Linked DNA regions of Caenorhabditis elegans. The protein of the gene in region 1 interacts with the protein of each later gene in a pairwise test. Each region holds a gene or a part of one and is shown on either strand. Other genes may lie near its edges.

Evidence for each region. Proteins that work in one complex are often made in the same cells at the same time.
Region 2: the proteins of fkh-2 (region 1) and Y73C8B.3 interact in a two-hybrid assay, tested with the Caenorhabditis elegans proteins (one large-scale study listed by BioGRID).

Annotation. Positions count from the first base shown.
Region 1 is NC_003284.9:3,739,654-3,744,134, forward strand, and holds fkh-2 (Forkhead box protein fkh-2), read right to left. Parts: upstream 2,671-4,481; 5' UTR 2,602-2,670; coding exon 2,493-2,601; intron 2,089-2,492; exon of another isoform or gene 1,888-2,088; intron 1,738-1,887; exon of another isoform or gene 1,736-1,737; coding exon 1,629-1,735; intron 1,571-1,628; coding exon 1,297-1,570; intron 1,241-1,296; coding exon 918-1,240; 3' UTR 554-917; downstream 1-553. UniProt on the Caenorhabditis elegans protein: Transcription factor. Plays a role in embryogenesis and later development, perhaps acting redundantly with forkhead protein pes-1.
Region 2 is NC_003283.11:3,190,747-3,194,842, forward strand, and holds Y73C8B.3 (AB hydrolase-1 domain-containing protein), read right to left. Parts: upstream 2,492-4,096; 5' UTR 2,385-2,491; coding exon 2,241-2,384; intron 1,734-2,240; coding exon 1,580-1,733; intron 1,524-1,579; coding exon 1,242-1,523; intron 1,185-1,241; coding exon 1,063-1,184; intron 1,014-1,062; coding exon 918-1,013; intron 866-917; coding exon 677-865; 3' UTR 556-676; downstream 1-555. Other genes in the region: Y73C8B.2 (AB hydrolase-1 domain-containing protein), read right to left, coding at 2,723-2,887, 2,934-3,029, 3,085-3,206, 3,257-3,692; Y73C8B.9 (Transposase), read left to right, coding at 2,812-2,831, 3,130-3,205.

The DNA.
Region 1 (4,481 bases):
CAAGGAAATTTTTTTGTTCGACGACTTTCAAAAAAAGTGGCAACACTGAGTATTTACCACTTTTTTGAAACAAAACAAAATATTTTAAATAAAACTTAGTTTCACTGTGATATTCGGGCATTTTCGCAATTTGCTCCATTTATGACTGAACAGAGCTTTTAAACTATTATATTTTCCTTCTGTGTACTTGTGAAGATTTCTATCGAGATATCAAAAATGTCAAAAAAACATTTTTTTTCATCAAATCTGATTACCGGGAAAGTGTTATTTTCTGCATCACTTTAAAATCACTGTCTGTGAATTTGGATTGTACAAAACTAAATTTGACTTCTCGCACCAAATTAATTTCAAAATCTGAGCTTGAAATTCTCTGTTTGGTCTCAATTTTCAGATCTAATCTTAATAGTTTAAACGGTCGGCGTGGCGAAATAAAAAAAAACGCATCTGCTCGGGGGCGGCATCTCGAATACCATGACCACCGATTTGCACAGCTCCATTGCGTAACCAACACCCGACAAAAATAATCGACGTTTGACGGCAAAAAAGAGTCACATGACTACAAGTGATTTATTATGAAAACATAAAGGTGTTGACAATAATGACGAAAAAATAACAATTGGTGTTACAAGCACGGAATGGGAACAAGTAATAAAGCAAGGAACACAGATCTTTATAAGGTGTTGTGGAGGGAGAAGGATGACAAGCGGAAGAGGGGCATGTATTTATAGTTATAAAAGTTACCGCTAATCAATTTCTTGAAAAAAATATTGCAAGTTGCTACCCGTGAATAGAAATATTGTAAACTTGGTGTAGGTTAATTAGGTCGAAATAAGTTATAAATCAAAAATAGGTACACCGAACTACTAATAGGAGACACATGCTGAGTTAAGAAAACTTGAAGGCCATAAAAAGAAGGATTACTGTAGTTTTGTGAATAAGCTTTGTTGTTGGTTAATGTATAATTGTAAAAGTTCAGGTTGTGCGAAAACTTGAGGCATCGCTGGAATCGGCATCATTTGACGAGGGAGAAAGCCATTTGGAGCAGTCAGATACGGGTGACGAGGGAGGGCTGGCATTCCTGGACTGAAGTATGGGAAGAGGTTTGCAGCGGCTGCTCCGTACTGCTTGTAGGCGTCCATTCTAGCACGCGAGAGAGAGGAAGGGCGACGGCGCAGTTTTCCAGTTGCTCCACCAATGAATACCTCGTCCTCAGCAGTTGCATCGAGCATCCAATAGTTCCCTGAAAATGTATTGGATTAAAATATGAGTTAATTGGAAAACGATTTAGAGTATTACCTTTGCCTGGATCATCAAAGTTTCTTGGAACTTTGACAAAGCACTTGTTGAGGGAGAGGTTGTGGCGGATGGAGTTTTGCCATCCCTGCTTGTTGTCCCGGTAGAATGGGTAATTGGTGACGATGTATTCGTAAATTCCAGCCAATGTGAGACGTTTTTCTGGACTGTCTTTGATGGCCATCATGATCAATGCATTGTAGGAGAATGGTGGCTTGTCGTTCGGAGAGCTTGGAGTTTTCTCTTCTGAGTTGCTGGATGATGGTGACTTGGAATCCTGAATAAGTGGAATACTTCGAAATTGAACGTAGAGAGGGAATTTAATGATTAGTTACCTTGCTCAATGTGCTCTCTGATCGTTCGTCATCAATGCTCTCGTCATGAAGATAATCGGTGGACATGGTGTCAGTAGTGTCGATTGATGTGCTTGGGTCACTGATATCTGAAGATAAAACGATTACGGTAGGCATAAGAAGACCGGAGCATGTGGTGCAACAAAGAGATTATGAGTTTTGACGAGCTGAGGGTTTACAAATCCGCAACAACATGACAGCTGGTCGCCGCGTCTCTACTGACATTTTAGGTGAAGTGTAAACGCTTGGGGAGGTTCGGTTGGGGATTCAAGCGGAGGATTTGATACGAAAAACGAGAACGATGGCAAACATCAATCAACGACGACAACAAGTGCGGTTGGCTGAGGCAAACAGCGGGCGCTACCGTAAGCTTAAAGCACATATGCGCATGTTTAACAGATAATAATAAGAATAATAATAATAACAAGAGCCGCCGCGCTTTTGAATATGGTAATGGAATTGGTGTGAAGAAATGTACAGTACCCTAAAACGTATGCTTTTGATAGAATAAAGTTAGGAATTTAAGAAGAAGTAACTGGAATTTAGGATAGCACATATATTTAGAGCTCTATAATTATCCGAGATTTTGGAAAGCTATATTGTGAAGGCTTAATGTTTCTAAAGTTTGACTTAAAGAATAATCGTATTAATATGAATTTAAGTGTTAAAGTGGAGTTTTTCGATATGCAAGGATATTCTTTTGAAAACCAAAAACAAAATAGTTGTTCCTTGGCTCTAATCTCTAAATGCATACTTTTTCCTAGAAGGTTTGCAAACACGTACACACAAATGTAATAACAGCTTATACTAAGATCTATCTTAAAATTAAATAGAAAACGAACCAACCCGTGGATTCTTGCTTGATGCATGGTTGAGTTGAAATGTGAAGTTGTTCAATCTTGACCGCCTCTTCAACAAGGTCCGGGCACAGATCCAGAATCGAGAATCGAGCCATCAGAATTCGAGTCGTTTTCCTGAGATTTGGAAAGTTGGTATACTGATGCGATTTGGTATGGAAACAATGACACGACAAAGTGATGGGTCCAGTGTGGGTGGGACTAACCACTGCGATCACCCGGCTGGGCGTGGCCTGCACGGTAGAGAGTGTGCGGGGGGACCCAAGATGAAAGAGTGAACCGAATGGTCTCCCAACTACGTAGAAAAGGGTGCAAAAAGTATAGTAAAGCGGTGAAGACTAACGGGGATATCAAAAATGTTTGAGTATGAAGAAAAAACCAAAGAGGCGTTTCCAAGGATGATTATGGTGGAAGTGTTCTATTCTGCATGACTTTTAAATCACTGTCTGTCTGAACAGAAAATTCGAACGTCTAAAAAATGTGCATGATTTTGAAAGTGCAATTCATTAATATGATATTTGATAACTTAAGAACTTAATCTTACATAACTTGATAATTGAGGAATATGAAATTAGACCAAATTAACGAAGGAAGACAAAAAAGTTTTATAATCAAGTATTATGACCCGTCTTCTTCCTATATTTTTTTACAATGACTTCTGATGAATTAATTAGAATTGCTCTTATTTTCTTTATATGTAGACTATTACCAACTTAAGTTGAGTTTCAGTTCGTGCATGAATAAGTAAACTTAAAGAATTAAAGAAAAAGTAGCAACAATGGAGAAATCTACCACTCCTATGGTGTCTAAATGAAACAATATGAATTTTATTTTAAATTTGGAAAGTTTTATATTTTGTTTCCAAAAATCGTTACTCCGTTGTTGCCAAATTTACAACTATGGTTTGTAGTGAAATCTGAGGAAATATTGTTTATTAAAAAATAACAAAAACATTTGCGAGTGGAACTAGCTATTAAAAAAATGTAATTCAAATTCGAAGTTCAAAATAAAAGTAGTTGTAAGAAAAGTAACCTGTCACAACTATTTGAAATAACTAAAATTGAAAAAAGTTTATCTTCTGCGGTAAGCGGATGAGCAACTTTGCAACAAATCGTTTGATTGACACCATTCAGCTGCTCGTCATATTATTGAACTAAGTGACTCCTCAATACTCATTCTTCTAGTGTCTTGTAATCCGGAAGACATATTGAGACTATAATAGCAGGTGGTTTTTAAGAGAGGGATCAATATTGTGAATGCATGGTTTGAAAAGGGTAATTACAATACGATTGTTTTCATGCAGAGGTGAGACACGTATTAATAGAATGGTTGAACATTAGCTACGTAAAATTAAATACAATTTCTACTTTTGCTACATTTTTTATTGAAAATGTTTCGGAGATTCAATTGAGTAATTTACAGCTTTGGCTAACAAAAAATTGTTGAGAAAGTAAATGATTGAAATCTCATAAAATATTTCCAACTGATCAAGGACCAATCCGCTGAAAATATCTCAGACAGCTGGATAATCAGGCGAAAATATTTTTTTGACGAACGCGCTCACACATGAAAAATGAGATCAGGAGTCAATAATTTACATGAAACATTACCAAAAATGAAAAAAAAACAGAGTTTTAACATTTTAAAAGACTTGCAAGTCAAAGCTTTTTTTAAAGCGCCAGTGGTGATCTAAATGCACTTACAACGATTCAGAATGACTGAATATCATGATAAACATCCTTCAAAAAAGTTATACTATGAATTTTGGTTATTTAGGCACCAAAGGAGTAGTTTTAAACACTATCCCCACTGGCGGTACTCCACCTTAAAATGAATTCTGTCTAGAAAAACGGATAGAAGCTGATCATAAATTTGTCAATTCAAACATTTGGGGTGTGCCAAATGCCAAATACAATCTAGAAGTTGTGCGGGATTTTCAAACCAGACTAGAATATTGACGATGCGATGTTTGAAAAAG
Region 2 (4,096 bases), on another chromosome or scaffold:
AAAAAACGATTAAAATCGTATTATTCTTCAAAGGCGCACCTCATTTTTAATTTAAAAAAATTTAACCGTATTTTTCAGTTATATATCGCAAAATTTCGCCGTTAAGAGTACTTTTAAATTGGAAAAAAGGCCGATCTAAAAATGTTTCAAGATATTGGGACAATTTAAAATGGTTTGAGTCATAGGTGGGCGACAAACGATTGCTTCCGGCAAATCGGCAAATCGGCAAATCGACAAATTGTCGGAATCGAAATTTCCGGCCTATCGGCAAATCAGCAAATTTCAGCATTTAAAACTTTCGACAAACCGGCAAATTGGCATATTGTGGTTTTGCACATTTTTTTTTTGGAAATTTCAGAATTTCAATTTTAATCGGCAACACATCTATTTTGAAAAGTATGCAAGTTCTATGAAAATATCTAGAAAAAACGGGAAAAAAATTTCAAAAAGGCACAGTTTTTTTTCTTATAAAAAATATCCTCCAAAAACTTCCGGCAAATTGATGTGCGGCAAATCGGCAAATCGGTAAATTGTCAAAAAATAAAAATTTTCGCCCACCCCTGAATAAACTTTATTTTCGGGAAAAAACTTTCAAAACTTGCAAAAAATCACTTTTAGTTTTTTTTTTAATACACAAAAAATTCAAAAAATCACTTCTAAGTCTTCATTACATGATTCACAATTTATTTCTACTCGTTTTCTCATTTTCAAACATGGCTTTACAAGCCTCAGCTACCAGGCCGGCTCTCGATTTGTTCTGAAAATGATTGTCCTGCGCGACGAAAACCGAAGCTCCACGTTGAGTCCCCGTAAAGGAATCAAGGATTTTCAGTCTCTCGGCTTCTGAGATCTCTTTGTCAATGTTCTGAAAATAATTGTATTGTATAATAAAGCTACTTTTCAAAAAAAAAACTTACAAAATGCTGCAATCCTTCATGCTTCTCGAGCGTCTCAAAAACAATTTCCTCCTCGACGAGGTGATCTTTTCCGGCGAAAACAATCAGTTTTTTGACCTAAAAATTGTGAAGATGAAGCTTCAAAATAATGAACTATCAATCTTACATTCATATCGTTTGTCTTTTCAATAAACTCAAGTTGTCCTCCCAACGAGACATTTATCATAGATCTCATCGAGTTGACGGCCTCCTCGCCAGTAGTGATTTTGAATCCAAAAGCTTTATATACTGAAATTCAGAAGGGTTTTAGTATGAGGTTTTCAAATTTTCAAAAAAAAAACTCACCGCCCAACATCATGGCATTTCCGAGGAATAATGGTAGCATTTTATAAATTGAATCCACAGTTGTCATTCTAGAAATCGGGTTGATTCCCTTATGAATCCTCAGACCAGTCGGATTGATGAGCACAATTCCGTGAGCATCTCGAGCCACAGCCGTCTGAAGAGCATTCTCACATCCACGACTGTGACCGATGTACGCCATTTTTCCATCGATGCCTAGCTCATCCAGCAGTGCATTCGAATAGTTTTGCCGTTCGATGTTGATATGTTTTTGGTCGGGGTACTCTACAAAATTTAATTATTTTAAAATAATTTTTTTGAATTAAAGAAAATCAACTCACCATTTGTAAACGTGAAGCCTGGATAATTGACTCCAATGAATCTAATTTTTAAGTCATCCAGCTTGCTCCGAATGTACTTGAAATCGTTGTGAGACCCAGGGGAGCCGTGGAAAGCAACTACAGTACCAAATGGTGAGCCGGAAGTAAGGGAGTCCTAAATATATAAAATTGGCTCTACTCGTTTCATAATTTAAAAAAATCATTCCATCAGAAAATTTGAACACAAAATTAATTTTTTTTTTAACTTTTAGCTGATAATTTTGCTTTTTGGCAAGTTTTCCAGTACTATCAAGAATACTAAATTTTGCAATAATACGGTATCTGGTCTCGACACGACAAATTTTTGGTAAATGCAAAATGTGCGCCTTTAAAAAGTACTGTAATTTCTAACTCGTGTTTCAGTTGAAGTTTCATTGCTTTTTTATAGTTTTTCGGCAGAAAAGTATACTTTTTTGTTCGAAAAACTTTAATAATACAATAAACAATATTTAAACTTCTGAACAAATTGTGAAGAAAACTATGAAAAATTGATGAAACTTAGCAGAAAAAAAGTTTGAAATTACAGTACTTTTTAAAGGCGCACACCTTTTTGAATTTAACAAAAACTTGTCGTGTCGAGACCGGGTACCCTATTGCAAAAATCCAAAAAAAAAAAACTAACCTCATAAACCGCATCCAGCTCCACTTTCTTCCCGCTTTCCGTCTCAAACTTTACCAATTTTCGGCACAAATTTGGTTCCGTCATTTTTTGAAAAACTTTTGATGGGCCAGCAGAGGCCGCCAGAAACACTTTCGACGTTATCATTACACTAAAACTATTTGGAAAAATAAATTTTAGTGGATTTTTTTCTACTAGGAAATGATGGGGACAATGCGAGAGTTCACGTATTTAAAGAGAGCGCAGAGAGAAGGTTGGGTGAACTGAAGAGATAGTGTAGGGGTTAGATGAGGCGCAGAGACGTAAGAAAAAAGCGTTCGGAGATAGATGGGTGTAGTGTTGGCCACATTGTCGTCTGTGTAGTTGATATCATTTGTAGCGGAAAATATGTCAAAATTGATAAGGATTTTAGTTGTCTAGACCCCGTCGGGAGTATAGGAAAAATTAATTTATGCTTGTAAAAGTCCAGTAAACGTTCGAAAAAATTATGCATCCAACATTTTCTTGCAGGACTCAGCGACCAGCTCTGCCTGTGATTTATTCTGAAAATGGGTGTCCTTCGCCACGAAAACTGATGCACCAAGTTGATTTCCCGTAAAACATTCCATAATTTTTGACTTTTCCTCTTCAGAAATTCCATCTTCAAATCTCTGAAAAATTTTAAGTTTATGGTAGAGATGCTAGAAGTTAACTCACAAAATGCTCCAAACCGTCATGTTTCTCCAATTTCTCTAGGACAATTTCTTCTTCTACCAAGTGGTCGTTTCCGCCGAAGACGATTAGTTTTTTGGTCTGAAAATTTTCAAAATTAGAAGGGCGTAGACGATAGGCTTTTTTGAAAACTTACATGCTTCTGATTCAACTTCTCAATGTACTCAATTTGATCTTCCAGCGACATCCTCATCACGGACCGCATTGCGCACATGGCCTCCTCTCCAGATTTCACTTTGAAGCCGATAGCTTTGTAGACTGAAATATTTTTAAAATTTGAAATGAACTAAATAAATATTTTTACTTACTTCCTAAAATCATCGAATTTCCCAAAAAACTTGGCAAAAGCCCATACATCCAGTCCAAATACTCCAGCCTATAAAATGGCCTAATGCCCTGATGATGTCTGAACCCGGTCGGATTTATGAGCACAAGACCGTGAGCTTCACGTCCGACGGCTGTTTGCAGAGCATTCTCGCATCCACGACTGTGTCCCATGTAGATAATTTTTCCGTCGATTTTCAGCTCATCTAGCAAAGCGTTGGAGAAGTTTTGGCGTTCCGGATTTGCGTGTTGTTGACCTTCATATTCAGGCGTATTTGAAAATCCCGGATAATTGACTCCAATAAATCGAATATTCAGATCATCCAGCTTGCTCCGAATGTACTTGAAATCGTTGTGAGACCCAGGGGAGCCGTGGAAAGCAACTACAGTACCGAACGGGGAGCCGGAAGTGATAGAGTCCTGAATTTGAAAAGTTAATATTAGGGGGGCAAATTTTTTAGTAGGCAAATTTGGCAAATTGGCAAAATACCGGTTTGCCGACTTGCCGGAGTTTTGATTTTCGGCAAATTGCTGATTTGTTGTTTGCCAAACCTCAACTTGCCAGAAGTTTTCAGAGGGATTTTTATAGGACTTAAAACTGTGCCTTTTTGAAAATTTTCCCCGTTTTCTTTGGATATTTTCATAGAATTTGCTTATTTTTCAAAATAGATGTAGAAGCATTCTTAGGATGCGTACAATTTTTGCCGATTAAATTTGAAATTCTGAGATTTCCAAAAAAAAATTGGCAATTTGCCGGTTTGCCGAAAATTTCAATTCCGGCAATTTACCGATTTGCCGGAAAAGGTCGTTTGCCGCCCGCCCTG